Linked DNA regions of Diceros bicornis minor. The protein of the gene in region 2 interacts with the protein of the main gene of each other region in a pairwise test. Links are inferred from orthologs where the notes say so. Each region holds a gene or a part of one and is shown on either strand. Other genes may lie near its edges. The genes, in order: RBM17, SAT1, DIPK1B and DMRT3.

What was found.
Region 1: the proteins of SAT1 (region 2) and RBM17 interact in binary tests that used the Homo sapiens proteins (3 or more experiments, as listed by UniProt). The two-hybrid records come from large-scale screens. The link is inferred for Diceros bicornis minor from reciprocal best matches to the Homo sapiens genes SAT1 and RBM17.
Region 3: the proteins of SAT1 (region 2) and DIPK1B interact in binary tests that used the Homo sapiens proteins (3 or more experiments, as listed by UniProt). The two-hybrid records come from large-scale screens. The link is inferred for Diceros bicornis minor from reciprocal best matches to the Homo sapiens genes SAT1 and DIPK1B.
Region 4: the proteins of SAT1 (region 2) and DMRT3 interact in binary tests that used the Homo sapiens proteins (3 or more experiments, as listed by UniProt). The two-hybrid records come from large-scale screens. The link is inferred for Diceros bicornis minor from reciprocal best matches to the Homo sapiens genes SAT1 and DMRT3.

The regions. Positions count from the first base shown.
Region 1 is NC_080775.1:7,288,886-7,296,856, reverse strand, and holds the start of RBM17 (splicing factor 45), read right to left. Parts: upstream 3,005-7,971; 5' UTR 2,914-3,004; intron 1-2,913. UniProt on the Homo sapiens protein: Splice factor that binds to the single-stranded 3'AG at the exon/intron border and promotes its utilization in the second catalytic step. Involved in the regulation of alternative splicing and the utilization of cryptic splice sites.
Region 2 is NC_080781.1:19,986,481-19,993,314, forward strand, and holds SAT1 (diamine acetyltransferase 1), read left to right. Parts: upstream 1-3,817; 5' UTR 3,818-4,005; coding exon 4,006-4,071; intron 4,072-4,340; coding exon 4,341-4,392; intron 4,393-4,482; coding exon 4,483-4,566; intron 4,567-5,954; coding exon 5,955-6,056; intron 6,057-6,146; coding exon 6,147-6,187; intron 6,188-6,303; coding exon 6,304-6,474; 3' UTR 6,475-6,829; downstream 6,830-6,834. UniProt on the Homo sapiens protein: Enzyme which catalyzes the acetylation of polyamines. Substrate specificity: norspermidine = spermidine >> spermine > N(1)-acetylspermine. This highly regulated enzyme allows a fine attenuation of the intracellular concentration of polyamines.
Region 3 is NC_080767.1:42,132,178-42,139,706, forward strand, and holds the start of DIPK1B (divergent protein kinase domain 1B), read right to left. Parts: upstream 3,009-7,529; 5' UTR 2,945-3,008; coding exon 2,882-2,944; intron 1-2,881.
Region 4 is NC_080761.1:25,498,283-25,506,140, reverse strand, and holds the start of DMRT3 (doublesex- and mab-3-related transcription factor 3), read right to left. Parts: upstream 3,013-7,858; coding exon 2,562-3,012; intron 1-2,561. UniProt on the Homo sapiens protein: Probable transcription factor that plays a role in configuring the spinal circuits controlling stride in vertebrates.

The DNA.
Region 1 (7,971 bases), on a different chromosome or scaffold from region 2:
CTCCTTTCATACAATTTCATTTACATAGCTTTATTGCATCTATTCTTTGAAAGGCGTGTATATATCTTTTAGCCGTTTTAAGCACTTATAAATACACCATAATTGATTCATTCATTCTCCCCACTGCAACCACTGAAATGTAACAAGGGCATTGACAAGACTCTGCCAGGACCTGAACTGAACCTAATTAATGCTGGGATGTCACTTAGATGATCTAACACATTTATTTCACGAAGTCTGGAGCCAGGTAATAAAAAGTAGCACTTTCTAACATTTGGATATACTTTAAGAGGCCAGGATCGAACACAAATACAAACAGCTGGTTTTCATAATTTCTTTAAAATACCTGCTCACTACTTACTTTTTTATGGTAACACTACCCTTTGATCAACACATCTTTCATATATGCTCCATTTTTTTTCTTAAGAAGAAACACAGTAAACATGGTCCTGCCAGAAGAATGATGACTTTCCAAGATTCTACCTAAGCTGGCAGAGTATTTTTTTAAACACATGCAACTGGCAGAAAAAGAACATGGAACAAGTCTTCTCAGAAGCACCCCACCTACTCATCTCTCAAGAGCATCTCTGAAGCCTTTGGTGACTACCACCCCCACATAAAACTATGCCCCATTTGTTTCCCCTGAACACACTCGGATCAGAGCAACCTTCACATGTTATGCTGCCTATGGCTGACACGTCTGTCTCTTACTACATGATAAGCTCCTTAAAGCCAAGGGCTGTTTTTGTCTTATTGTTGTATCTCTAGCTCAGCATCATGCTCGGAACATTGCAAGCACTTGATATTTTCTAAACTTATCAGTGATCGGATGGAAAATGTTAATGCACCTCCTTAAATCACATTATTATAAAACAATAAGATATCCAGATCTGTCTTTTAGGGACATAAGTTATGGTAAGTGGGATTTAATAAGTATGGTAAACATTAAATTGTATACTATAAATAACAGAAGAAAAACTACTACCACCACACAACTAATAATGAGTCGAGGTCTGATTTCTCAGCACCTAAACAGCAGGCTTGGTAAGAGCAGAGCTTTTTACCACTAAAATGATAATTCATGTATCATAAAGCGAAAATGAAGCCTCAAGAATATGGGAAGTATATGCAGACACAAAGGAGCAGGAAGGGAACCATGAGGGTCAATGCACGTTGATGTTCACCAAAAATACAGGTAATAAGAGGCATCTGCCTCATATATAAGATTTATAATGACTTTTGAAGGAATTAAAACATCTTTCCCCCAAAACCCTGACACCCTTGTCACAGTTTAGCATTTCCACCCATTCTCATAGATTCTATGATTACCAAAATACCTTAGGCTGGAGTGTATTGCAGACAAAGTCCACAAGAGTCACCTGTAATCGAGGTGTGTAACAGAACGTCCTTCACTATTGACTACTAGGAAAGACTTGAGAGATTACCAGCCCTGGATCATCTGTTCTCTGAAGGTAATTTAAAACAAACCAGGTAAAAAGAAATCCACTTTATAAAGTTACATTTGGGAACGCACAACAACTCTCCCCAAATTCTTATTTTCCATAAAGGCTATTTTTAGTTATCACAGTACTCCACAATCAGAATAGCTCTGCCCTGATAACACTTCTATTACACCCTGTTATCTTTTTCTCTGTTTCACAATCTACTCTATTCTAAACTGTACAGCATGCAGCACATTTCTTAATAAAATTCTAAAAATAAAACACCCTCGGTTTAAGTTACTAATATATTATCCCATAGTCCCTAAATATCCTTATTATAGTCAAAACGTCTGCTGTCTTTACCCCCTAAAAATGTGGAAACTCAGTTGCATCCTTTAAACACTCCACTTGTTGCCAGGAGGCACAGTCCCCATCTACCTGAGTACATGCAGCATCTTGCCCTTACCCAGAATATCCTATTTTCCATTCCTATGCTGGGTTCTACCAGTAAGTACCTTCAACGGTTCTCCTTTACTGACTTCTCAAAGAACTTTCTTGATCTGACCCGACTACCCCTCCTCACACCTCTCTCTGCCTTACCCGCAGTTTCCAGGATGCACTACAGTGCTTCTCTTCTGCTGCCTTGACACTTATCTCCCCTGCCCTGCAGGGAACCTTTTCCCCATCCTGCACATCTAACAAAACACCTCCAAAACTCAGTTATAAGCATCACCCCCTCTTGGAAGCCTTTCCAGACTCCACTCTAGTCCCTTAGATCAAGGATTTCTATGCTTGTGTCCCTAGAGACTAAACTTCGAGAGCAAGGACAGAATCTTATTTCTCTTGCATCCGCTGTCCATAACATATGATCTGGGCAAGAGGAGATGCTCAAAAAATGCTCGATGACTGGACATGAGAGCTAAACCCCGCTCTAGAAGGACAAGGACCGAAGTAACGCCGGAGTCGTGTCTCCCTGCAGGTAAACCCCGACTCGGAGAGCTGTCAACCTCTGGAGGCCCCGTTCTGCAGCCGGGGAAGGAAGTGGCTTCTTCCCTCCCCACTCCCCGGGCCCCGGAGGGGAGCAGACGTGCTGGGCCACAAGTAATACGGGCCTGGCTACCGTAGGGACCGAGCAACTACTTCACAACGGCACCAACAGAAGGGAGGAGAAAACGTCCTCGGGTCCAAAACGGACGGAAACAGACGGACGGGAAGGGAAAAATAGGAAGGAGAGAGGAAGAGGGAGAGGGAGAGGGCCTGGGGACCCGAGGCAAATAGACAAGAGCGGCGGCGGGGCGCGAAGAGAAACGCGAAGGGTCGGCCGGGGCCTGGCTGAAGGCCGAGGGCGCCAGCGGCCGGCACCTCCCGCCCCCTCGCGGCGCGGCCTAAAGCCTCGGCCTCGCGTCCAGCGCCGCCCGGGGAGGCGCGCGCCCCGGCGCCCCGCCAGGCCGCCCGCCCCGGCGCCACTTACCCGGGCCGCCCGGCCGACTCTCCCCATGGGCCGTGGCGGCACACCGGGGCCGAGGCGCCGCGCAGGGGGCGGGCTGGGCGCCCTCGGAGTGACCCGCGACGCCGGACCCCAGCCGGCGCCAACTCCTACGCCGAGTCCGCGGGGCGCGCGCGGCGCGGGGTCAGGGGGCGCGTGCGGCCGGGAGAGAGGCGCTCCTGTGCCTGCGCCGCGGGCGCCTCGTCGCCGCGCCGCCTGCCGGCCGGAGGACCACACTGCACCTCCACTCCGCCGGCGTCCTGCTCTGCCGCCAAGAGGTGTCGCGGTGGCGCAAGTTTGTGAAATTTCAGACTCGTAGGAGAGCCCGGCAGTGACCCCAGATGGTGAGGACGAGAAATGGTCCAAGGCGGCAAAGATCGTCTTTGGGAGCCAAGTGCGTTCTAATAGGAGAGAGAGGGAGAATCCCTCCTAACCCTTCGTTCTCATTCATTCAAAACCATTGATCTCTATGCACAAAGCTGAAAACAAATCCCCCGAGGCGAGATGAACGGGAAACTGCTGCAAAAGAAATGGCAGCAAGCATTGAATTAAGTGTACGACTAAGAAAACAGTAGACATGGAGTTTAGGGTGATAGAAAAAACGTAAATGTTATAAAGCCTCACAGTTTAAAAATGATATAACAAAAGTTGGGAGGAAAAGAGAAAATAGGATTTCGTGTAAATATGATTTTCACGCCTGTAATTGGGGTTTAAAATATTTCAAGCTGATAAATAGTAGAGATTTAAGTATACATGTTAGTACAAAGGAACATGCTAAGAAACAATATAATCAACTAAAATCTGGTGATTATGAAAAGGGAGGAAAGGGAGAAAAGAAAGAAATATGGTAGGTTGTCAGTAGACAATCTGAAGAAATAGATGATTAGGACATCAAGTAATATTATCATTATTATGGTAACCCAGAACAAAAGTACAAACCTTTCAAATTATCAAAACACAACTATAACAAACTAAACAAAATCACATAGTGAAATATGAAAAAGCTACAAAACAGAAAGCATAACAAAACAATATGACAGAACTAAGACCAAACATCTTACATGAATAAATGTAAATGAGCTAAATTTATCTATTTTAAAAAATAATACAACTTCAGATTGGAACAGAAACTATAACAGAACTCTATGTTGCATACAAGACAATGCACAAAATAGAGGGATTATCACAGTCTGAAAATGCAAGACTGGAAAAGGTATACCAGGAATATACAAGCATAAAGAAATAACAGATCACAAACTTACTATTACACAGGGTTGATTTCAGAGCAAAAAGCATTTAATGAGATTAAGAAGAGCATTTTATAATCACAAGAGTTAAAATTCACAGTGAAGAAAAAAATAGGAATATCTATGCACCAAATAACATAATTTCATTATTCACAGCAAACACTAGAGGAGATATAAAGAGAATGAATAGTCAGAAATAATTGTTGTAGTCCTTGCCAGATTAAGGTCATAAATGATAACTGAGGATTAAGAAGATCTAAAAATATAATTAATATGGTTGATCTAATATATCAAACTCTGTACCCTGAAACAGAGATTACATCTTTTTAAGTATCCTTGGGACATTCACAACAATTGGCCACATTTTAGGCCACAGAGAAAATCTTAATATATTCCAATAAGTGGAACCATATCGATAATATTATCTCATCAGAATTCAATAAAACTAGAAATTAATGATAAAACAGAAAATAAAACATTCCTACCCCTTGGAAATTTTTAAATGCTTAGACAACATTTGAATCAAAAAGGAAAACAAAAACAAATAAATAATACCTAGAAAAGTGTGAAAATGAAAATGACATATCAGAACCCATAGGATTTAGCTAAAATAGTACTAAGAGGAAACTCATGTTTTTTTTTTTATAATTTTATTTATTTATTTTTTTCCCCCAAAGCCCCAGTAGATAGTTGTATGTCATAGTTGCACATCCTTCCAGTTGCTGTATGTGGGACGCGGCCTCAGCATGGCTGGAGAAGCGGTGTGTCGGTGCGCGCTCAGGATCCGAATCTGGGCCGCCAGCAGTGGAGCGCGTGCACTTAACCACTAAGCCATGGGGCCGGCCCCAAAACTCATGGTGTTAAAGGATTATATTAATTAAAAATTTAGAATAAACTAAATAAATTAAGCACCCATGCAAGAAGTTAGAAATAGAACAAAATAAACCTTTGACAAGCAGAAAGATGTAATTAATAAAGATAAAAGCCTAAATTGATGGTATATAAAACAGAAAAATATAGAGTTAAAAAAATAAATCCAAGAGATGATTCTTTGAAAATAAATAGGTGAGCTGTTAATTAAACAAGAAAAAGGGGAGAAAGCACAAATGTACAAAATGTGGAATAAGAAGAATTAATTCCAAATACAGAGGAAAGTAAAATTATCTTAAGAGATGACCTTGCTCAGTTTTATCAAATAAGTTGGAAAATCTGGAAGAGACAGATACTCTTCAGGACAACATAATCTCTCAAAATGGACTTTAGATGAGTTATAAAATTTAAACAGACCAACTATCACAGGAAAAATTGGGAAGAAAAGCCAAGAGCCTTTCCAAAAGAGCACCAGGTCCAGATGTTTCCGCAGGAGAATTTTATCAGACCTTTAGGGCCAGTGAATTCTGATGTGCTGTTCCAGAGCATAGAAAAAGAAGGAAAGCTTCAAATTTCTCCCATGGAGCTAGCACAGTAGTGACACCCAAGTACAGCCCAAAGAAAACTGTAGCCCATTCTCACTTATGATTCTCAGTGCAAAAATCCTAAATAAAATAGTACAGCATCAGGACAGAAATTCTCAGTCCTAGAGTAAGGTCATTCCCCGGGCTTTGGGGATCAGCTCTAGGTGAGAAGGAGAACGTTCTGGCAGTAAGACAACGTGCTCAGGGTTGGAGTGCTGGGTGCAGTTTTGGAGGAATCAGTCCTGGCTTCGGAGGGTTTATTTCTGGGGTTGGCTTGGAGACTTGGGTTTGTGGAGTCAGCTCCATTTTAGAGGTGAGGATTTCCAAAGCAGGGGCATCATTCCGGGAGGGATACCCAGATTGCCAGTTCAAACGTGCTCAGGCTTAGGTTCAGGGTCATATGTAGACCAGATTCTCAAATTTAGGCTTAGCTGAGGAATCCGAAGGCTTCTTAAAGGGCACTGCTGCTACTAGCATCCTGTGGTTGACCACACAGCATATCAGCCCTGGCTGAAGGGAAGGGGGGTGGGAAAAATTGAGACATATTGAAGAATTTGATAGAGGTAACACAACTAGGAAGAGAAAGTCAGGGTGTGAACGCAGGGTGCGTACAACTCTAGGGAGCATGCCCTTCACAGGGCAGCCTGGGGGTAAGAAGACGTGCAGTGACTGGTAAGTTGAAAGACTGAATTCTCAGTGGAAGGAACTTTGTTTTAGACACAGCAGGCGGTGGCTCAACCCAGCAGGAGATCCAGATCCCATTGGAGAGAGACAAGGTAGACCCGTGGCTGTCGCTCCACCCAGTCTGCAGCAGGAGGTGAGTAGACAGATTATAGGACATGGCACTCATCCCCGGGGTCCAGAGACCTGGTGAACAGATGAAATAGACATGAACAAGGTTATTTGCCCACAGGCTGGGTGAATTTTGGAAGAGAACACAAGCTGGACCCATGATGGTCTACGCACTTATCAATGCAGCCCACCAGCCGGCCAGCCATTCTCTCCGTGCTTTCATTCTTCTTCTTTTTTTATTTGCAGGTCTGTTATTTATTCGAATGCAACTGCAGGACCATGCAGGTGCCAGCTGAATAAGTAAGCATTGCCTGGTGTCTTAGTCCGTCCACACATGTCAGAAGGGGCAAGGGAGCTCTCTGGGGGGGGGGGTGGGTCTCTTTTATAAGGGCACTAATCCCATTTATTAGAACTCCACTCTCATGACCTAATTACCTCCTAAAGGCCCCCACCTTCTAATACCATCACTTTGGGGATTACGATTCAACATATGAATTTTGGGTGGACACAAACATTCCATCTATAGCACCTGGTATTTTGCAGAGTATGTTAGATGGAGCAAACCCTGTAGAAATCAATTGATAAAGACTTAGTGCTTGAAGTGAAAACTGAACCTGACCATTAGCAGAGAATGGGAGTGATCTGCAGCTCAGGACTTGGAAGTAAGAAAGCCAATCTTCCCACTCCACATCCTACAAGACAGGCACCAAGCAAAGATCTCCATAACCCAAGAGAGGCAGATTTGTACAAGGAAACGGGCTATTCTCTTAGCTGCTCTGGTTAAGCAACGCTGGCAATTTTTTGAGCGCTAAATGCAGAACCCTGATTGTGTAGGCCTTACTCTTTCCTTATATTACTGGCATGTTACTTACATTACTTCACTTTAATCCTCATGTAGCATGGTGTAGAATTACACCATAAAAATGGAAATTCCCTATGAAAATTGTTTGAGCAAAAAGCCGTGAGAGTGTCTTAGTCAGCTGGGGCTGCTGTAACAAAATATCACAGACTAGGGGCCTTAAACAACAGACACTGATTTTCTCACAGTTCTGGAGGCGGGAAGTCTAAGAGGCAGGCGGATTTGGTTCTTGGTGAGGGCCAGCTTCCTGGCTTGTAGGCAGCCACCATCTTGCTGTGTGCTCACAGGGTGCAGAGAGCTCCGGTCTCTTTCTCTTCATATGAGGACACTAATCCCATCTTGGGGGCCCTGTACTCATGACTTCGTCTAAACCTAATTACCTCCCACAGACCCCCACCTCCTAATATCATCATATTGAGAAGTAGGGCTTCAACACATGAATTTGAGGGAGACACACACTTTTGTAGTCCGTAACAGAGCGAGAAAAGAGCCACACTTCTCGGGGGCTCCGGACGCTTCTGGATGCTTCCTTTTGAGGGGAGTGAGGGAGAAGTAGGATGCGTGGGCTGCTCTCTCTGTCCTGAAGTCTGGTGTGGCCAAGGTGTGGGGGCTGAAGTCCCAGTGGAGACTTCCAGTAGGGAGACAGGGCCAGGAGCGGCATGGAAGTGAGTGAAAAGAAAAGATGTTAGCC
Region 2 (6,834 bases):
CCTTTGCTGTGTAACAAACCACCCCAAAATTGAGCAACTTAAAACAACCATTTTATTGGCTCATGATTCTGTGGATTGATAACATGCGCTGGGATCAACAAGGTGGTTCTTCTGTTAGTCTTTCCTAGAGTCACTTGTGTGTCTGCAATCATCTGACAGCTCAACTAGGATTGGATGGTCCAAGATGACCTCACTTACGCACGTGGCTTTTGGTGCTGGCTGTCAGCTGGACCTTTCTCTTCATGAGGTTTTTCATCCTCAAGGAGACTAGCTCAAGTATCTTCACATGGCAGCAGCAGTGTTCCAAGAGGGCATGAGCAGAAGCTTTACAATCTCTTGACGTCTTGCTTAGAAGTTGTATACCATCACTTCTACTGCATTCTGTTGGTCAAGGCAAGTCACGAAGCCAGTCCAGATTCAAGGAGTGGGGAAATAGACTCTACCTCTTGATGGGAGGAGCTGCAATGAATCTGTGCCATTTTTAATCCACTACACTGTATATACCAACTGAATATCAGCCCTGCATGTATATGTACATAAAAAAAAGACTGGAAGGAAACCAACCTGTTAACAGGGATTATTTTTATCTTTTTATATTCCCGCACTTCTCCAATTTTCTTAATCAGTAAGCATTACTTTCATAAACATAAAAAAAATTTGACATCTTTCATAATAGTTTAATAGGGCAGGTTGGACAGCTTCACTTTGGCACCGAAATCAGCCGAATTCCTTCTCCCCCAGCTCTACCACTTCCCGGCTTTGGCAATTTTGTAACCCCTCTGAGCCTCTGGTTTTCTCAGTCATAAAGACGGAGCTAACATTACCTATTTCACAAGACAGTTGTAAGGATCAAATGCGACAATGAATATAAAGCACCCACACCCACCACGTGCCTTGGCAGAGACATGCCTTGGCGATTTCCCTTCCTCCTCTCCCCCTACTCAGACCTCCTCAGTTATAGGAATTCTCTTTCTCACAAAGATTAAATTCTGTTTAGTAAACTACACACACTCTCTAAAAGTAAACTGTATGCCCTGAGGGCTGGTTTCAAAACTTAGTCCTCCTTTATAACCCCCAAGTACCCAGCACAAGACTCAATAAATATTTGTTGATTTGTTGACTCATTAACCAAATAAAAGTTTTCCAAATGCAAGGCAGTTAATCCCTTTTTATGCAGTTTTAAATCTAAATTCCAGTATCAAGAGGGGGTAATGTTGCTTATCCATTGCATCTATCTATTCATGACAATGGAAAAGCCTAACTTGATTCACTGCCATGAAGAAAACTCAACTTTCTGAGGGTTCTAAGCTTCTACATGTGCACAAACACAATCACAATGAGCTTTCGTCAGCCATATGTTTTTCAGAATAGGCTCTTCCTTGTCATAATGGCAAAGTTGAACATAAGAGCATGAAACTTAAACTGGAAAAACAGGATAAACAGAAAAAAAATTATAATGCATTTTAATGAAACAATCATTATTCTAAAAAACTAAGCAACCCAAATTGAAAATGGTCTTGTTTTTGCTTCAATGAGGCAGCTATCATTAGTCACAGAGGTCTAATTTACTGTTATCAGTAAATTTGTAACAAGCTCTCCTTCCGCCTCCCACAAGTAAGACCAAAGCAGAGGAGGGAAGGGCCTATGAATGGTCATCAGTGTGTCATGGTGTCAGGAAAGACACTACCTGGATTAGGTAGATGAGAATCAATGCTATTTTTAAAGATCTTTGAGAAAGACACTGCTTAAACTCCCACCGGACGGTGACTCACTATGCATGACAGCCCCAGAGGGTGGGAAGGGTAAGAGAGAACCCACTTTTGCTTTCTTTTTTACATACAGGATATTGCTAACAAAGGCAGAGAATCACTTGTTGAATGTTGGGGGAGGGGGGTGGGAGTGGTCATTTGGTGATAGTCCAATCTCTCATTCCACAGAAAGAGAACGCTGCAGGCCCCTTTTATGCTTTCTCTTTGACTCACTCCGGAAACCAGGCAGGACCCTAAGGAAGGTCTGTCTGGAAAGGTGGGTTGTAAAAGAAAACTATATCTGTCAGAGGCTTGAATACTTGTTCCAGTGGGTACAATCCAGGAATAGCTTTACCTAATCCAACTCTTCTCAAACATTTTGCTCCCAGGACATTTAAAAACTATTGAAGAATCCAAAATGCATACCTTCAAAAATTCCAGAAAACATTAGAATACATAAGCACACATTCCTTTAGTCACTAAAGCAATGATGTCATCACACATCCCGTAAATTTATAATTATTTCAAAACAGAAAGTTAAAAAAAAGGGAATAAAAAGAAGCACAGAGGATGGAGCAAGTAGGGATTACAACAGCAGCAACGGAAGCCAGAAGATAGTCAGATATCATCAATATGCTGAAAGAAAATAACTTCCAATCTCAAATTCTGTCAGCAGTAAAATAAATCCTTCAAGAATTTTAAGATGAATTAAAGATATATTTAGACAAGCAAAACAGAAAATTTTACAAAAGCAGACCTTCACTAAAGGAAATTATGGAGAGTGTAACTCAGGCAGAAGGAAAGTGTTTCCACAAGGAAGGTCAGAGATTTAAGAAAGAATAAGAAGGGACAAAAGTAAGAAATAAAACCTTGTGTTAATTCTAAAAATTATAAGTACAGGAGTCCCCCCTTATCTGCGGTTTCACTTTCTGCAGTTTCAGTTACGGTCAACAGCAGTCTGAAAATATTAAATGGAAAATTCCAGAAATAAACAATTCATAAGTTTTAAATTGTGCGCTGTTGCGGGTAGCGTGACGAAATCTTGAGCCTTCCCACTCTGTCCCGCCCAGGATGTGAATTATCCCTTTGTCCAGTGTATCCACGCTATTTATGCTACCGGTACCCACCCCTTAGTTACTTAGCAGCCATCTCAGTTATCACATGACTATCCCGGTATCACAGTGCTCGTGTTCAACTCACCCTTATTTTACTTAATAATGGCCCCAAAGCTCAAGAGAGAGCAGTGATGCTGGCACTTCGGATATGCCCAAGAGAAATTGTTGTTAATTTCTTACTGTGTCTAATTTATAAATTAAACTTTATCATAGTTATGTATGTATAGGAAAAAACATAGTATATACAGGGTTCAGTACTATACCCAGTTCTAGGCATCCACTGTGGGTCCTGGACTGTATCCCTTGCGGATAAGGTGGGACTACTCTACAGGCGGAAAACTTATTGAGGAATCCAAATAACTTACCTTAGGAAATTCTGTAAAACACAAGAGTACACAAGCACGCATTCCTTTAGACATCAGAGCAATGACTTCATGACACAACAGGTCGCCTCTGGAAAATTCCAGCGAGAGTGAAAAAGGCAAAGGACATCTTACTATTATTATGGAAGTACTTTTGACACAGACTCCCTGAAATGATCTTGGGACCCACAGGGCCCCCGGATCACAATTTGAGAATCGCCTCTCTATTCCCTTCATCACCCAAGGCCAGGTCTGAGTTTCCTTTCCTGACGGGTCAAGGAAGAAACAGCAAGGTCACTGGTCGGGGGCCACCAGGGGAATTGCTCTCTCCCTTTCGCAAAGGTTACTGGAGGACACGTAGGCTCCGAGGTCGGGCTTCCGGGAAGGCTCCACGAGGCGCCACTAGAGGGCGCCGCTAGAGAACCCCGCCGCGCACCCCGCCCACCCCACCCGCTGGCCGGGTTCACACGGACGCCCGGAGGAGAGGGCGGCGCCAGGAATGGGGGGAGGCGGGCGCGGCCTCATTGGACGAGGACCGTCCGCCTCACGGCCGGGGGCGGGGCTTCTCCGCGCTAAAAAGCAGAGCCGAGCGGCGGCTCGAACGCGCAGCTCTGGTGGCAGTCAGCTGGAGGTTTTTCGTCGCTCACCGAGGTTCGCCGGGTCATGGTGCCAGCCTGACTGAGAAGAGGACGCTCCCGGGAGACGAATGAGGAACCACCTCCTCCTGCTGTTCAAGTACAGGGGCTTGGTCCGCAAAGGGAAGAAAAGCAAAAGACGAAAATGGCTAAATTCGTGATCCGCCCGGCCACCGCCGCCGACTGCAGTGACATCCTGCGGCTGATCAAGGTAGCCGAGGCCCGGGCTCCTCCCGGGGCGGGGTGGGAGGTGGGCGGCGGCTCCATTTCCGGGAAAGTCCGCGTCTTGCGCAGGTTCCCCTTTCTCCCCCGCCTCCCCAGCCCCAGCCGGGCTGGGCAGGGCCGCGCCGCTCAGCTCCGGCCAGACTCAGGGAATGAATCGCCACCCCGCCCCGCCCCCTCCTTCCCTCTGAGTTATCCGGGCCGGGGCCTCACTTAGTTTTCTGCTTCTCTCCCTGTCTCCTGTGTGCATCGCCCCAGGAACTGGCTAAATATGAATACATGGAAGAGCAAGTAATATTAACTGAAAAAGGTAATGTATCAGTGGGGGGCGAGGGACGAGCGTCCAGTACCTGTCACCTTTACCGAGGCCAACACTGTCTGTCCCTGCTGCCCCTTGCAGATCTGCTAGAGGATGGTTTTGGAGAGCACCCCTTCTACCACTGCCTGGTTGCAGAAGTGCCCAAGGAGCACGGGACTCCGGAAGGTAACCGTCCTCCCGTTTCAGAAGCCAAAGAAACCAAGTGTTGTGTAAATCGTAGTGTCTGCTGTGTAGAGAACCACTTACAACACAGGCCGAAGTTACTAAGAAGTTGGCCAGAAATAATAGCCAACCAGTGTTCAGACTACTGAGGAAAAAAAATAGATGTGCGGCACTTAATAATAGGGCGGGTTAAAAGAGCTGTTTAAGTAAGTATCAGAGTGCTGTGGAGACCCGGAAGAGTTAGGTATAATGTCATTTGTTGTAGTTCAGTTTCATAAATGGTTCTTGTTTGACCCTAACGTAACCTTTTTTGTAATTGTTAAATCACATTTTTTTCTTTAATTTGTCCCAATCTTCAGGTTACAGTCTCTAGCTTCGCCATGTACATGGCCCTTCCGTGTACATGGATGGGCGGGGAGGTAACTAAAAGATCCTTTACACAATAAAGTAGATGATCATGATAAATGAGGTAAGGTCCTATTATCACACACTTAAAACACGGTAGATCAGAAACTCCATTGTACTCGCTTCCTGTCTGTGTTTGCAAAGGACTATAAAATGGCTAGAAAGTTTAATTTGAAACCTTTGCCTCCAGTTGGAATTACAGACACCCATAAGAGGATGTCACATTTTGTTTTGTTTTGCTGGTCCCTGTTGACTGGTCAGAAGATAGCGCTAAAAGGGGAAGTTGTTGGGGTGGGTGCTTAAGTTTTTTTCTGACATCTGTTCCCCAAGCTAGAAGAAATGAGCAGAAAACGTAAGGGGTGAGGTGCTTTTTAGAGGGATGTGGATGTTACATAATACCTGTTTCTGGGTATCTCTGCTTCTTCTGGCTTAAAAACTGGGGAGAGCAAATTGAAAATGTGTGAATTGGAAGGCAAGTTCTGAAATTAAACGTTGCGTTTTTTGGCCTGATGTCCTGACCTTAAGGAAGCAGAGTTTCTAAACTACAAATATTTACTATTCTGAACTGCCGTGTAAACCTGACTTATTCCCAAGTCAACATACCAGTATATCAATAGGATGTGAATAATGTGTGTGTTTAGTTTAAGACCATAGCAGTTTCGCTCTGGCAAATAATGAAAGCATTCTCGCTTCCTGAGTATGAGATCCAGCAGATTGCAGAGTGGCCAGTCCACAATTTAAGCCTGGCTTCAGCTAGCTCTAATGTGTGCTTTTTGCAAATACATGTTTTGAGAACAGTGAGATCATCCAGCAGTGGCCTGGACTGCACTAGCATAAAAGTCAAGAGACAGTCTGGTTCAGTGGCTACTTATTTTTATAATACATGCATGTGTATTTTTTAAAACCTATGATAGGCCTCTGATTTTGCAGCTACAACTTTTATGGATTACTTTTCATTCACATCTCATGTGATACTCTTATTACAGGACACAGCATTGTTGGTTTCGCCATGTACTATTTTACCTATGACCCATGGATTGGCAAACTATTGTATCTTGAGGACTTCTTCGTGATGAGTGATTATAGAGGTATGGTTGAGTTCAGGGGGAAGCTCTAAAGAGAATCAGGTCTTGAAGTCTTTAAGATGATTTTTTAAATGGTACTTCTCTTTCTTTTAGGCTTTGGCATAGGATCAGAAATTCTGAAGAACCTAAGCCAGGTACATTTTGATTTTTGGTTTCTGAATTTGTAAGAGTTATTGGATTATTTTAATGACTGAATCAAAATTGGGTCTTGGAAATGTCACTGAGTTTGTTTTACTCTCCCATATAATAGGTTGCGATGAAATGTCGCTGCAGCAGCATGCACTTCTTGGTAGCAGAATGGAATGAACCATCTATCAACTTCTACAAAAGAAGAGGTGCTTCTGACCTGTCCAGCGAAGAGGGATGGAGACTCTTCAAGATCGACAAGGAGTACTTGCTAAAAATGGCAGCAGAGGAGTGAGGAGTGCTGGTGTAGACGATGACAGCTTCCATTCTATTTTAGAATAAATTCTCAACTTATCTTGCTTTCTATCCTGTTTGTAGTGAAATAATAGAATGAGCACCCATTCCAAAGCTTTATTACCAGTGGCGTTGTTGCATGTTTGAAATGTGGTCAGTCTGAGATGGCAATCTTGTATGCAGTTCGGAGTCAGATTTCTCCTTGAACATCTTTTTGATAAACAACTAGGTGGTGTGATCTTAATGTATATGAAAAAAACTTCATTCTTGTGAGTCATTTAAATGTGTACAATGTACACACTGGTATTTAGAGTTTCTGTTTTGATTCTTTTTTAATAAACTACCCTTTGATTTAATTGCT
Region 3 (7,529 bases), on a different chromosome or scaffold from region 2:
CCGAGTGAAATAAACCAGTCACAAAAAGACAAATTCTGTAGGATCCCACCTATACGGGGGCCCTAGAGGAGTCAACCCACAGAGACAGGAAGTGGATGGTGGTGCCGGGGCTAGGGGAGGGGATGGGGTGAGTGTTTCACAGGGACGGAGCTTCAGTTTGGGAAGATGAGAGAGTCCTGGAGACGGATGGTGGTGACGGCTGCACAACAACGTGAATGTGCTGAATGCCACTGAGCTGTGCACTTAAAAGTGGTTAAGATGGTGAATTTTATGTTACGCATGATTTACCACAATAAAGAATAAATAAATAAGAGACGCAGCCCCGGCCCCACTGCCAGAAGCTCTGTCCCAGATGTCCAGGGTGGCCCATCAGATGTTCAGGGTGGGCCAGGATGGGAACTGCTTCTACAGAGGCCTTGCCCCTCTGCCAGGTTTCCCCAGCTACAAGTGGAATCACAGGATATGAGGGTCCTGGCGCCCTGGAGGGTGCTGTCTCCCATCCAGCCCCCAAGCCCAGATTCCAGGGGCACTACCTCCCTTCCCCACTCCCTGCCCTGGCAAATCACAGAGTGGTCAGCCGAGGGGACGGGGTTGCCATGCACTGTCCCACACAGGGGCTGGGACACCTGACCAGGTGGCTGAGCCCCAGCGGCCCGAAGAGCAGGAGGCCAGGGCTTCAGGCCAGCCTGCCCCCAGAGAAGGTGCCACTGCCAGCGTTGGCACATGCCCTCCACCCACGGGCCGGGCAGCAGCTGCAATCCTGGTTAGTCCTGGGTCCTGGTTAGCTGGAGGCTGAGGGCTGGCCCTGAGAAATGGGGCCACCGGCTCCCCACCGAGGACGGGCCAGGGTCTCCCCTCCCGCTTCCCTGCACCCACTCACAGGCTGGCCTCCCAGGAGGAGCTCCAGCGGGAGGACCCCGAGAGTCGGGGGCAGGCCCGGAGCCTCAGTGGCCACTGAAGAGCGGGACTGGCCCAGGGCAGAGTGAGGGGCTGGGCCTCAGGCCCACTTGTCCCCGCTACCGTGCCTATTTCCGTCAGACGTGTTCAAAGTGAACAACAGGAAAGTGGAGGGACGGGGGAGGGAGGGGGGTGTTCTGGCAGGACAAGGTCGGACTTTGGCCGGTGGTGAACAACGTCCTGGGGCAGCGGTGGGCGGGGCCTCTGGGTGGGCTTTCAGTTCGGAGAGGGCCCTGAAGGCCGGCGCTGGGGGTCCTGGGGGACAGCAGGAGGAGGGCTGGCTATAGCCAGTGCTGGACGCGTGGGCGGACTGGGCTTCACAGTGCCTGCGGGGCCCACCCCAGACACTGCCCGCTCCCCCGCCAGACCCCCAGGGCTGCGGGCCTTTGCGTGGCGGCCCCTCTCCCAGCACCCCGTCCCCACCTGGCTGGTTCCGCCCGACCCCCAGGTGCTCGCCCTCAGCAAGCACCTCCTCCAGGGCCAGTCCTTGACCCCCATCCCCTTCCCTGCCCTGCCCCCTCCCAGGGGGGCCTGTCCCACTGGTGGGTGGGCCCCTGGGACAGGGCGGGTCTTACTCATCGCGGGGGGGGGCCCTGCAGCTGCCCCCCCAGCCCCGCCCCCCCCAGGCTCCTGGAGACGCCACTTGGAGGATGGGGAGGGTCAGTCAGGACAGTAACAGCACAACGGTGAACGACCCATGGCCAATGCCCTACAAGCACCACCAACCCAGGAGGGTGTTTCACAGGTGGGGAAACTGAGGCTCAGAGTGTCCCAACACTAAGACGGGGGTGAGGCGGGGCTCAGACCACTGGGAATCTGCCGGAACCCTTCTACCACCCATCTGTGCCGAGCTCAGAGGCCTAGTGCCCAGGGTCTGGAGCCGGCTGCTCTGGGCCTCCCCGGCAGCAGCCTGGTCAAGGCCCCTCCCTCAGGACAGGAGCCAGTGCACATCTCTGCTTCCTGCTGTGGGGTGGACCCTCAGACCCTCAGCTCCCGCCTTGCCCAGAGCTGACCAAGACCACCACGCACCCCAAGGCCCCAGGCAGGCAGGGAGGGCGTCTGGCACAGACATGCGACCGGCGTGTTTCCTGGCTCCCACCCTTCTCCCGGGTGGGGAGCTGAGGCCAGCCAGGCCCTGAGCCAAGGGCACGGCCCTGGCAGGGACCCTCCTGCTCTGGCCCCAGGACAGCCCTGGGGAGGCCACGGAGGTGTGGGCAGCTCTGACAGGGCCATCCTGGAGGGCATCCGGGTCACAGGGTGGGCCTGGAGGATTTGAGACTGGGATGTGGGCCTGGCTTGGACCACACAAAGCAGAGGTGACAGGGCTCCTGACAGCTGGCACCCAAGGCAGCCCGGGCCTCCCCTGCAGAAACTGGCTCCTGGCAAGGACGGTGACTTGTCCAAGGTCACAGTGGGGTCAGGGCACACCCCTAAGCTCAGGCTGGCTGGGAGATGACCCAGGGGAGGTTATGTCCTTCTTAGGGCTTTGTATGTGTCTCAAGTTTTCCACAACAACAACAAAAAACCTTATCTCATAAGTAGAGGAAAAGGGAATGGACTCGGTGTGGTTTCTGGGCCTCAGGGAGCAGGGTCCTGCCCGCGGGGAATGGAGGCCTTCCTCGGCCCCAGCGCGGGGACTGCCGCTCCGCAGCCTCCGCGGCGCCGGGACCCTCTGCTCGCCCCATCAACACCCCCCACCCCGGCCCCCACAGTCCTCTCCCAGCCCCCAGCCGCGCCGGGGCCCGCGCACCCCAGCGCTCAGTAACCTCGAGTCCTGATCCGGACCCGGGCCGTTCCCCCAGGGCTGGACGCCGCGCGCCCCCGCCGCAGCCCGGGCACCGAGGGCGGGGGGTGGTTGTAGGGGCCGGGGAGGGGGGGTGTAGGGGCCGGGAGGGGGCCGGGACCGGGGCGGGGGCGCGCCTACCTGCAGGCCCTTGGAGAAGGGGCAGAAGAGCACCAGGTGCGCCAGGCGCCGCAGCCGCCGCATGGTGGGCGCCCGGCCGGTGCGCGGGCCCGCCTCGGCTCGGCCTCAGCCCCGCGGGCCGGCCCGCAACGGCCGCCGCTCCTCCTCCCCCTCCGCGCGCCCCCGCCCGCCCGCGTCCACGGGAGGGCGCGCGCCTCTGACGGCCGGCCGGGGCGGGGGCGCGCGGAGGAGAGGGAGGGGCGGGCCGGGCACCGGGAAGGGAGAGAGGAGGTGGGGAGGGAGAGGGGAGGCGAGGACGCGCGGAGGAGAGAGAGGGGCGGGCCGGGCACCGGGAAGGGAGAGAGGAGGGATGGGGAGGGGGAGAGGAGGGGCGGGGCCGCGCGGAGGAGAGGGAGGGGCGGGCCGGGCACCGGGGACGAGGAGAGGAAGGATGGGGAGCGGGAGAGGAGAGGCGGGGACGCGCAGAGGAGAGGGACGCGCGCGGCCGCACAGGGGCGGGGGCGCCGCGGGGGCGCGCGGGAGGAAGGGAGGTGGGGGGCCGGGGACGCGGAGGGAGGCCTGCGGTGCTGGTGGGAGGCGCCCGCGGCCCGCCCCTACCTCTCCGCTCTCCCCCCGCGCGCCCCCGCCCCGTGAGAAGGCGAAGGGCGCCGAGGCTCTGCCCACACGCGCCCCCAGCCCGCACCCTTGAGTGATTGGGGCGCCCCCGCGGAGGGAGGCGGCGGCCGAGGCGGGCAGCCTGCAGAGGCCCCGCGTGGCAGGGGCGGGAGGGGCAGTGAGCCCAGGGAGGGGGACATGTCGGGGCGAGGCCGCGAGTGGGGGTCCCGTGCCAACCACCCGGCCTGGAGGGGCGGTGGACGCCGTGGCGGCGTTTGCCTGTTCCTTTCGTTTCTTTACGGAACCAAGTAAAATGCGCCTTTCTTATCGTGCGCCTCTGCCAGTGTTTACAATACAGCCGGGCAGGCACCTCCACTTTCGGGACAGGGAACAGCACACACCCGGGGCCCCCCTCTCCTCGAGCCCTCCCCGCAGCCCCAGCCCTGGCAAGCTCTGGCTCGTGTCAGGGTCACAGAAATGGGATAAAGTGGTGATAGCCTTCGGGTCTGGCCCTTCCCCGCGGCAGAGCGCATGGAAACTCGGTCCCTGGGTTTCCTCGCCGAGTGGCTTTCCCGGCACAGATGCCCAGCGCGCTCAGCCATTGGTTGGTTCGGGCTTGGGGTGACCAGGAACAGAGCTGCCACAATCTTTCGCATTCAGGTTTTTGTGTGAAGGTAAGTTTTCAGTTCACTCGGGAGGGGGAGAGGAGAGATTGCTGACACGTGTGGCCAGGGACGGTGTAACTTCACCGGCACCTGCGGAGACGCTTTCCACCGCTGCGCCATCTACATTCCCACCGCGGGGGCGGGACCTCCAGTTGCTCCACATCCTCGTCAGCACTTTGTATTGTCAGTTTTTAAATTCTAGCCATTCTAGGAGGTGCGCAGTGGTGCCTCTCTGTGGCTGTCATTCGCATTGCCCTCACGACTAATGATGTTGAACGTTTTGTCCTGTGCTTAGCTGCCACCCGTGTGTCTTCTTTGGCAAAGTATCTATTCAATTTTTTTGCCCATCTTTTTTTTTTTTTACTGTGTTTTCTTGTTATTGAGTTTTGAGACTTCTTTATGTCTTCTGGATACCAGTGCATTATCAAATATGTGATTTGCAAAGATGTTCTCCCCACCTGTGGCTTGTCTTTTCATTTTCTTATCAGTGTCTTGCCAAGGATGCAAGTTCTTAATTTTGATGAGGTCCAGTTTATCATTCTTTTTATTTATGGTTTGTGTGAGTCCTTTTGTGTCACATCAAAGAAATCTTTGCCTTACCAGGGTTACAAAGATTTTCTTCTGTGTTTTCTTCTGGAAGTTTTATAGTATTAGGTTTTACATTTAGGTCGATGATTCAATTTCAGTGAAATAAAAATTTTGGTGCAAGGTTATGGGTCAAAGTAGTGTTTTAGTTTTGTGTTTTGTGTTTCGGGGTTTTTGTTTGTTGGGGTTTTTTCACGTGGATATTCACTTGTTCCAGCGCGTTTGCTGGAAAGATGACCCCCCGGTGGTTCTGCAGCTCCTCACCTCCAGGGAGACTCTGCCCTGTGAGCAGCTTTCCCAGCATCCTGGAGGCAGGTTTTCTGGCACGTTCCAGACGGCAGACTTCCAGCAATTCTGCCGGCACCACAGGGACTTCTCTGCTGTCCCATGAGCCACAGCTGCACCCTCCCAACAAGACCTCAGCCTGGGGGTGGGGGTCAGCCCTAAAGGGTACTCCTGTCCCTGCTCCTCACGCCACTCCTGTTAGTCATTCTCATAGCAAACTTTCCCTGTTCAAATTGCCATGTGGCTTCTGTCTCCTGATGGGACCCCGACTGATAAGGTCAGGTGCAAAAGGGCTGTGGGCATTTTTGTAAAACTTACTGAGACCCACCACACTCCACACTTTTGACCACATGGCCCACCCTTGGGCACCCAATGTCCTCAACCAAGTGGTTGTCATCCTTGGATCTAGGGCCGTGTCGGTCCCATGGGAGAGTCCAGGTGGCTGGACCAGAATTAAGTTTGCATCTCCTGGGCCCCCTTTTGGACCACCCCGGCTGTCCAAAGGGCACCCTTAGGGGACAGAAGTAGCACCCTGCTCAGGAGAGTCAGGAAGAATCTAGATAGCCCCCCCTCCGCCCTTTCATCCTGGTCACTACCAAGGAGGTGGCCAAACAGAGGTGCTCCTCTCTGGGGACACTCACGTTCAGGGCCTGAGCTGCCTGCCTAAGGCATGTGGGCAAGACAGCGGGGACAGAGGCGGAGTCAGAAATCTTCTCCAGCAGACTTTGGAGAAGGCCATTCCAGTGCTCGGCAATACCAGGTCTGTGGGCCATGGGAAGCGTGAAAGGGCCTCTGGCACCTTGACCACCAGCCCCCATTGGGCGGCTTTTGCAGTAGAAGAAGCACCATTGTCAGACTGCGCATGAAGCCAGAACGTGACACCGCTGAGTTTCAGGGGCCACGATGTTGTGGCAGTCCGCTGACTGGCTCAAAACACAGCACCATGGTGAGCTGGTGAGGCACAGCCCGTAGCCCTGAGAGGGGTCGAAGTGGGGTCCATCAGCCAGGAGCCGGGGTCAACGCCCCCTGCAGTGTCCCCTTGCCCCACTGTGAGACCTATGAACCAGCTTCGGGCAGAAGTCCTGTCTGGCAGACGGCAGTTGCCTCTGCATCAGGAATACCAGGTCCCTTAGGTTGTGCCCCGTCTGTGATGTTGGCTGTCCCCAAGCCCGGAGCCGTGGTGGGTCCAGGTGGCAGTGGTGGTAGAGTGGGAGGTGCAGGCTGCGCCAGCAGCTGCGTTGGGTCGGGCCCGTGGAGAGCAGGCCCTGCCACGAGCGCCCGCGCGTGGCCCAGAGGGTTCGGTCAGCAGCTGAAATTCATTTCCGCAGGTCACGGCCCCACAAAGAGGAGGCTTTACTCTGTAACTGTCCACGTGGTGAACTGTATTGGTTTCCTAGGGCTGCGTAACACGATATCGCAGACTGAGTGGCTTAAGACAAGAGGAATTTATTCTCCTGCAGTTCTGGAGACTAGAAGTCAGAAATCAAGGCGTCAGCAGGGCCGCCGTCTCGCCAAAGGCTCCAGGGGAGAATCCTTCCTGGCTCCTCCCAGCCCCTGGTGGTGCCAGCAATCCTGATGTTCCTTGACTTGTGGCCACTTCAGTCTCTGCCCCTGTTGTCATATGATGGCTGTCTCCCTGTGTGAGAGGAGTCCCTGTCTTTGTGTCTTCACATGGCCTTCAAAGACCCTATTTCCAAATAGGCCACATTCTGAAGTTCCAGGGGGATATGAATCTGGGGACACTTCCCAACCCATTACGCAGACCAAATAGCTACATCATTGGAAACAGCACAAGAGTCAGTGAAAATACAACAAGTTTCATCAAAGGACCCCAAAATAAAATTGGCTTAGTCAGGAGAGAAGTGTAGTTACCTTTCGTGTAGTGCTCTGAGTGTAAGCATTCAAGGGCTGAGACCCCACGTGTCAGGGCCTTAAAATCCTTCTGCCTTGTTGGTGCTGGCATCCTCAAGACATGGCTTTTGTTTTGCAGTCCAAAATGGCTGCTCCAGCTCCAGCCATCACCTCCACACTCCAGAAAGGAGGAGGAGCAAAGGGGAAGTGAAGAGCTTGCCTTTCCATTTAAAGACGGGACCTGGAAATACATACTGCTTCTGCTCACATCCCATTGGCCAGAGCTTAGTCATATGACCTTACTTGCTGCAAAGAAGGCTGGGAAATGTAGTCTTTCTCTGAGTAGCCACGTGCCAGGGTTCTGGTGTCCCTCAGTCTCAGGCACAAGTATGTCGCAGGAAAATGGAGAAATAGAAACTCAGGCCCCCGGGCAGATGGCCCTTCCAGACATGGCCCATCCCACTGATCGTTGGGCTGAGGTCAGGGGTCACAGTTCCATTCAGACGGGTGTTCTGGGAGGTGTGGAGAATGGGGAGCCCAGCACATTGTGGGGACACCGGCAGGACCAGGCCAGGCCCGGAGAAGCACTGAGACGCAAAGGATGGGGTCGGGGGCCGGGGGAGGAATGGCATTCCAGGCAGAGGAACAGACTGTGGACGGACGTGGAA
Region 4 (7,858 bases), on a different chromosome or scaffold from region 2:
ATTTGAATAGAGCTTCACTTAGTTCTCTACCTGTAGTGAGCTACTTATCCAGGAGTTTCTGGTATACTTCTAAATATGTATGGTATGTTACATACAAATACATTATAAGAACAACTGCAAAAAAAGGTCTAATACCTACAGCAACAGGTAGTCTCACCCAGGCACTTTTCTCTAACTTAAACCCCAAATGGGCCTTTTTACAAAGCATTGCACAGAAATGATCCACTTGTGTGCTTGCCTTCCTAGTGGAAAACAATTATCTTCTTTTCTTGACCTCCTCATCAGACTGATGATTGGCTGCCTTTTTTTTTTTTTTTAAAGAACGAGATTATGGGGTCAAACCAATTTAAAAAAGAAAACGAAAGTTATAAATGAATGTGCAAGGTATGCAGCATGACCAGGTGGAAACTGAGCCGCTGGCCCCTGATGGCTCAATCTCCCTGAGACATCGCTCTGACCCCTCCCTGTGATAAATCCTAGTCTCCTTTGCAATCACTTGTTTTCAGTTTGGAGGACTCAGGCTATCCCTGAATACTTGGTGCGAGTGAGAGAGAGCACCAGGTCTGGTTTGTCCAGTTGAAATCAGTCTCCCTCTTTTATTTTCCCAAACTATGTATCCTGCTGCTGCTGCAGCTGCTACTGGGTTTTTCTTCCTGCCCTCACAAGTCGCCTCCCAGGGTTGTTGGTTTTGTGGCTCTTTAGAAACCACAAACGTGGCTATCCCAGAGAATGGTTTGAAAAGCATAGGATGGGAGAAGATTCCCCTCTTGGACAAGGACCCCAGAACCCAATGCCCTATTACAGGGGTGCTGCTGGGCAGGTGGCCACTGCAAAATGCTACCACTGACATGAACTCAGACTCCTGCCCCGGTGCTGGGAGAAATGGAGACAGGGAAACTGGAAACAGAAAGGTTGGGAAGTTATTGGCACAGATCAACTTCCAGAACTGAGACACTTTCCCAGTTACTTGTTCTAACCTAAAAGAGAAAAACAAAACACGCTACCCTCCATTCCTCTGTGGCAAATCTACAAATAAGAAGTGATCAGACTGAAGACACAATGGGGGGGGGTATTACTCAGAAAAATGCTTATACCCTACCTTGGATTAAATAGCCACAAAATCCATGCTCAGCAAACTCTCTTCCGTCCTTAAAATACCCAGTTGTGCTCTTCACATAAGATGTTCTCAGAGCTTCAGGCTTAGAGAGCATAACTGAGCAACAGGGCAGCACAACTATGCCTGCCAGGCTGCCTATCAACTCCCTCCCCAACCAATAAGCCTGCACTTCCCCAGCTCCACACAGCAGCTCAATGCTCCTGGAAGCCTCTCTCCAGAAGCTAGAGGTACTGTCCTTTTGGAGGGTGGAGGGGTAGGCAGAAGCTCTACCACAGTTCCACCTACACAGGACTCTGGGCCTTCCAGGCCTTCCCTCTGCGAATTTCAGCATATCCTCTAATCCCCTCCCCAAGAGGACTGCCTCTTTTCCTTTATACATTTGCCCCAGTGAAGGGAAAACACTAAACACATGTCCATTGAATTCCAAGATCCTAAAATCAAAGGAGCACTTGGGCTGGGCAGGACAGCAAGCTAGAGATTCCCCAGGAGGAGAGAGACTCAACTGCTAGCCTGCAGGCTCAGGAGGCCTGGAGGAGGGAAGGAGATGGAAGCAGGGGGTTGGGGGAATCTGTCCACCTCTAGGGCTCAGGGGAAACTCTCTCTAAAGCACAGCAGAGGAGATGAGAGGGGAAGAGAGGAAGAGGACTCAGAGATCCTTTGCTCGAAACTGGCAGCTTAGCAGATCTCCCCGCCTAGAACGGGGAAAGGGCTTGCCAGAGGGGGCCTTCCTCACTGTCGGTTAAGTTTTGTTTTATTTTTTTAAACCACAGAAACAGATGAGGGTAGCCTGAGGAACAGTGTTAAAAGACCTGAGCGGTTCTGCAAAAGGAGTTGACTCTGGGCGCGCCAGATTCTGGGTCCTCGCTATCCGTTCAGGCGCCTTTCTGGCCCTTTATTTACTATTGCTTCTCAATGGGGCTTCTTTCAGCTATTGCAAGAGAGTGGAAACCACAGAGCGCTACTAGAAAGGCTTCAGGTTCGCTCTAGTTCCCCCGGGCCGAGAAGCACGCCCAACTCAAAGTCAGACAAGCCTTGGGCCTTGCCTCCTTCCCTGCACCTACCCGTCCCTACCTCCAAATGCAAGGCCCTCTAAGGACCGCAGTCAGAAAAGCCCAGCCGCGCGGTGGTATGTGTGCCCGCTTGGATTTTAACCGGGTCCGGTCTCGATCTCTTTACCGCTGAAACGGACACGTTCACCTTTAACCTGGGCAAGGCACTTGGCGATCCCGACGCAGAATCCAGCCATTTGGCTCGCCCGCGGGCGCCTGGATGCTACCCGCGCGGTAGGCAGACTGAAGGCCGGCTTCTGCCCAGATAGTAAGAACTGGCTTGGCGGGGATTGTGGGGGAAGGCCCGCCCAGGCCTCCCAGGCAGAGCCTCAGCAGGAGCTCGGAAGTTTTTGCCCACGCGCCTGGCCGGGCTCCCGCCCCGCAGACGCTCTTACCTGGCTTGGCGAGCTGTGCCTGCAGCGCCCCGGGCGCGGGCTCGGCAGCCCAGCGCAGCGCGGCGGCCGCAGCCAACTCGGCAGCTGGACGAGGCGGCGGCTGAGACGGCTGCGAGTTCGGCGGCGGCTGCGGGGCGGCGGCGGCGTCCCCCGGCGGCGGGGGTCCGGGCAGAGCGCGCAGCGAGTCGGGAATGAGGCTCTCGAGGCTCTCGTTAGCCTGCTGCCGGCGCAGCGCCACCTGCGCCGCCATGACCCGCTGCCGCTCGATGATGAGGATGCACTTCTCGCAGGTGCAGTCCTTGAAGCGGCAGTAGCGCTTGTGGCCCTTGAGCCAGGACAGCACCCCGTGGTTGCGGCAGCGCGCGCACTTGGGCGTGCGCTGCAAGGGCGCCCGCGGCGGCTGCGACACCGGGCCGCCCATGTACAGGTAGGGGGAGCCGTAGCCGTTCATGCCCCGAGCTCCCGGAAGAGCTTGCGGGCTGGCGGCGGGAGCAGGCCAGGGGGCGCTGGATGGCGGGGTCCTTGGTCCCGCAGCCCCGGCGGCCGCGTGCGCTCCGGGATGGCCGGAGGTGCGGCAGCCGTCTTTACGGCTCCCGCGGCGCTCGCAGCCTCAGTGTCCCGCTGGTACTCCGCCAATCCCACGCCGGTCGCGTCTCCGCCAGCCGCTGCTTTGGCCCGCACGTCCTCCCTCGCCGCGGCGCTGCGGCGGCTGCAAAGAGCCGGCGACAGTTCGGGTTAAGGTCTGAGCCAGCTCTTCCGCAACTCCCGCGCGCGCAGGCCGGGCCCAGCACCTCCTCCACCGCCCTCCCCCAACTCCTCCGCCCTCCCACCGCCACCCCCACCCCCGGGGTCCTGGTCTCCTTGCACTCCCCACCCTACTCCACGCCTTCCTCCTTCCTCGCGCCCCTCGAGTCCCTGCACTTCACCTTCCTTGCCACCTGCAGCCAGGCCACTCTCGCGGGGGCGCTCACGGCCCCCTCCTCCTAGCGCTCTGCGTTTCCCCTGCCCGCGACGGGAGGGACTGCAGCGCGCCGGGATGCGGCGGTGCGCACGGGGCGGGGAAGGGGAGGACTGGCGGGGGTGAGGGTGGGGTGCCTGTAGGCGAGTGAGGCGGCCGCTCCCCTACCCTCTCTTTTTCTCCCTGCAGGCCTAATTTGGCGGCACCGAGCCCGAGGCCGCTTTTATCCCAACGTTTGGCCGAAGAAACTCGGCTCGCGAGAGCCAGGGCCTACTGGAGCGTTGCGGGTGCTCTCGGGACCCGGCATGAGCCGAGAAGGTCTTAATTTGGGGCGAGCCTGGCCCCACGCACGGCCACTGGTTGTAGGGCACTGGTTCGGGAAATTTCGGCTCGCTCTTGATTTCCTTTTGCAACACATATTTTATCTTGTTGCTGTAGAAGAAAGTGTTGAAAACCTGCTGGCCCAAGGATGACAACCCATTTTGCAGGCTATTTCAAAGGGAAAAACAGCCCTCCTTCTCTGGCGCGGAGTTTCTCTACCCTCCTCCCCACGTTTTGATAAAAACAAGTCTCTGTCCTGAAATCCTCTGTCTGCTCGTGTGGAGGATTTGCTTAAGTGCTGCGTCTAAACTTTCAGCGTGGACGAAGGAGCCACGTTAGCGTCCCCAAAGTTACCGGATATGATCTCCCCTCGCCCCAGTAGCCGCTGAACCATCAAACGGAGGCCTCTCGTCACCCAATTCAAATCCCCACGGACTCAGTGATTTAGTTATGGATAAAGGATGGGGCCACTTCCTCCCCCACTCCTCCCAGCGTCTTTGGATAGCATAAAACTTTGTTTAAACTGTTATTTGCGTGTTTTTAATCTCCTACGAGTACCGGTTTGGCCTAATGCAGACTGCCGCTACACATGCACAGGGACCCCCAAATCAAAAAACGAAAACTAAAAACAGGTGGATACAGCGGCGCAGGGTAGCACAATGCCTCAGTGCGAAGCCGTGGAGATGGCAATCCCGGAGCCGTCGGTCCGCAGGCTTCTGAGAGCAGAAACTGAGCTCATCTCTTGGCGGTCTGAGCGAATCGAATGCGAGATGAGAGCATAGATGAGTCCACTGCAGTGGCCAACCGTTAGGCTGCACCTCGCCCCTTGTACCCTCGCAGAGGCCACTTTTCTCTGCACTGCCTGGAAACAAGCAATCCGAAAATGTCTCTGTGCTGTGAATTCGAGTAAAAGCACAGCCAGGCGTTCTTCTAGCCAACCCTCCGCCTGGAAGAGGGATTCTGAGAGGGGAAGAGGTTTAAAAAGGGAACACGGTTGTGTGTGTTTCCTTTGAAGCCCTTAGCCGTCCCCAGTTTCAGACCTGTCCGGGAGTTGGGGATCGCTGGAGGCTGACCTGGTGGGGCCTTTGCAGGAAACTCTTGCACGAGAGCGATAACCCTGGGAGGCCTCCTCTCGAAGCTGCGTCGGGCAGGGACCCCTGGGGTCTTGCCCCTTAAACCCCCCACCCCACCACCGCTTCAATATCTCCTCTCTTCCTAAGTTTCGCTAGGAAGAAAAGCCCTAAAACACTACAACGAGAAGGAACTTGATAACCTCTCGGGACTGGAGGCAGAGGTCACCCGCAGCCCGGTGAGCCAGAGGCCAAGAAGTGGGGCAGCAAGTCGCTTCACGTGATGAGACGTACAGGGCCTAGAATGACACTGAATCTGAGAACTTCCCCACTGAAATCTCCGGGTCGCTTGGGAACGTGAGGAACATGGACTTTTTTCAAAGCCAAATTTCTCCCGATTTTCTCCAAATGGTCAAGGAAACCCGGGAGTATAAGGAACTTGGGAGTAAAGAATTTTAAAGGAAAGCAGAGGTTTGGGGGGTATTCCCACTTCCAAGACAACCCCTTTCCCCTCTCGGTCACCTAGCCACCCTATCCCTTTGCCACTCAAACAGTCTGGCATTATTTGGTCCCAGGGCCCTGTTTCACTTCAGTGCACATCGGGGGCTGAGATCTAAATACTCGTTTGATATAGCGCAATAATCCTTTTCTCATATTTGATGGGAATGTTTTCCATATCCCAGTATTTGACAACATCTCCCTATAGGGACAGGTTTGTATTTATGTTGGTAAAATGTCCCCTGCCTCAAAGTCTATTGTAACCCAACACCTGACAACCCGGAGTCCCATTTCTGTTTGCAGAAAGGGTTTATTCAAGCACATAATGGGATCCCAGCAGAAAGCCTTTCAGAACAAGGGGCTATGGTAAACTTCACCACATGAACTCCGTTTCCAGGGCTATTAAGCTTTTAATTGGAAAATAGCAGAGGAAATTTCAAGGTGACTATAACGTGTTAGCAGTTAGTGCGGAGAAGAAAAGCCGGAGCGGGAATGAATGTAGAAAGCATATGGTCCGAATCACATTTAGGAGGAGCGGCCCACTTCTGCTAAGTCCCGGCGGCTTACACACTTATGGGAAAAATCATCCAAGACATTGGAAAGGGAGGGGGGAGGATTACAAGTCAATGTAACCTCACTAGACTGGATCCACTCGCGTTCTGCTCTGGGTGGGGAGTGTGTGTGTGTGTGTATGTGTGTGTGTGTTTTCAAACCACAATTAACCGGGTAGAATTGTGACAGGTATTAACAGCGAAAGGGTGAAAGATAATGTGCGTATGTGGTTCTCTCGCTCGGCGCACACACAATCTCACGGTGCGTGTACATCTAAAAGCTGAGAATGCAGGTGCCCTCGCTGAGAAACGGAGGATGTTCTGCCTCCACATCTGGCAGTCCTGGTAGCTGCTCCTCACCGCAAGCAACGCTTAATCAAAACGACAGTTTCATCTTGTCCCGGATGTATACTGTATCAGGAAATTTTCTGCGTTGCTGCATTCTCATGGAGCTGAAGGTCAGGGTTCCTATTTTGCCGTTTTAATCGAGACTACGGTGACGCTGGAGGCCGGGGCGTGCAGAAAACACTTTAAATGCAGGAAAACGAGACCCCTCTCCTCGCGCAGGGACTTCTCAGCTGTCACCCTGTCCGTGCCTCTCGGCAGCGCTCTTCGACCAGCTTCAGATGGAAAGGGGGGAACAAATATCTTTGAGGCGGTGGGGCAACCAGCAATCGCTTTTTTGAGGTGACAGCAATGCCCTTGTTCTCCCTCAATTAACTGGGGAGAAATTCGTGTGCACCCCCCAAGGCATCCCTGAAGAGGCCCTCTGGGGCGCGGAGCGGAGGGCAGAGACCACGTGCGGCCGGGGTGACTGAAGCTGCATCAGGCGGGCCCGGGGGACGCCGCTGAGCAGAAGGAAGGTCCTAGACGGCCATGTCCCCCACACCATGTTGGCAGTGGGCAGCCTGAGGATCCTCAGAGGCCAAGGCCTTTTGGAGCAAAGGGGAGGGCAGAACGGCCTGCAACCCCGCCGGCCTCGTGCAGACCAGGCAGGTGCTGCTCCGTCTTGCACGTTCTTGAACTCTTGAAGCCAGCAGGGGCTTCATGCCCGGGAGCCAGCGCTCCCATCGGTGCAGATTCCAGCCCAGACACAAGGCCGCGCCGCCCTCACATTTTGGGGTGGGGGTGTTGCTCCTGCATTACTTCATCCGAGGGGCCCACTGAGCGGCGACCCCAGCCCTGCACTTTCGAAGGGAAGGACTAGAGAAGCGCGCCCTCGCAGCGGTCCCCACTGGGCTGGGGCCCAGGCTCGCCCCTGGAGGCCCCGGGCGCAGCCGGTAACTCCCGCTCCGGCATCGGCCTGTCCGCTGCCCTACGAAGTCCCCGAGAGTTCTGGGCTGCGGCCCTGCACGCACGAGCGCGCGGGCGGGGCTCCGGGGCCGAGCGGACACCCCGCGCTGGGCAGCAGGAGGGCGTGGGGTCGGCTGAGGCTGTCGGTCACGTCCCCACACCATTTTGAAAGAAGGTCTCAATGGGCGGCCTGCAGGCTCTGTCTTCTGTGCAAATGAAAAAGGAAAAAATATGTACCCTCCAAGGTAAAATGAGAACAGCCCTGACTTGAAATCAGTTTTAAGATAACCTTTCCCCTGCGACTTTAAAAATTTAAACAAAACATAAAATAGCCAAGGAAATATTTTTAGGGTATTAGAGCAACATTCAAGGGACAAGACAGTTTCTTTTCCCCAGTGTTCGCTCTCGGGGCGCTGGTGCAGTTCCATTCCAGGACGAGCCCCTTCTGCCTTCCCGTCCCTGCTGTACCGGAGCATCCCGGCTGCGGGGAAACGGGCGGATGTGCGGGCTTCCAGAAAAGAAGTCCCTGCTCGGTTCAAGGGGCCCGGGAATAATGAGGGGAAACGGTGGGCGCCGCCCGCACCCCAGGGAAATTGGGTGCGACTC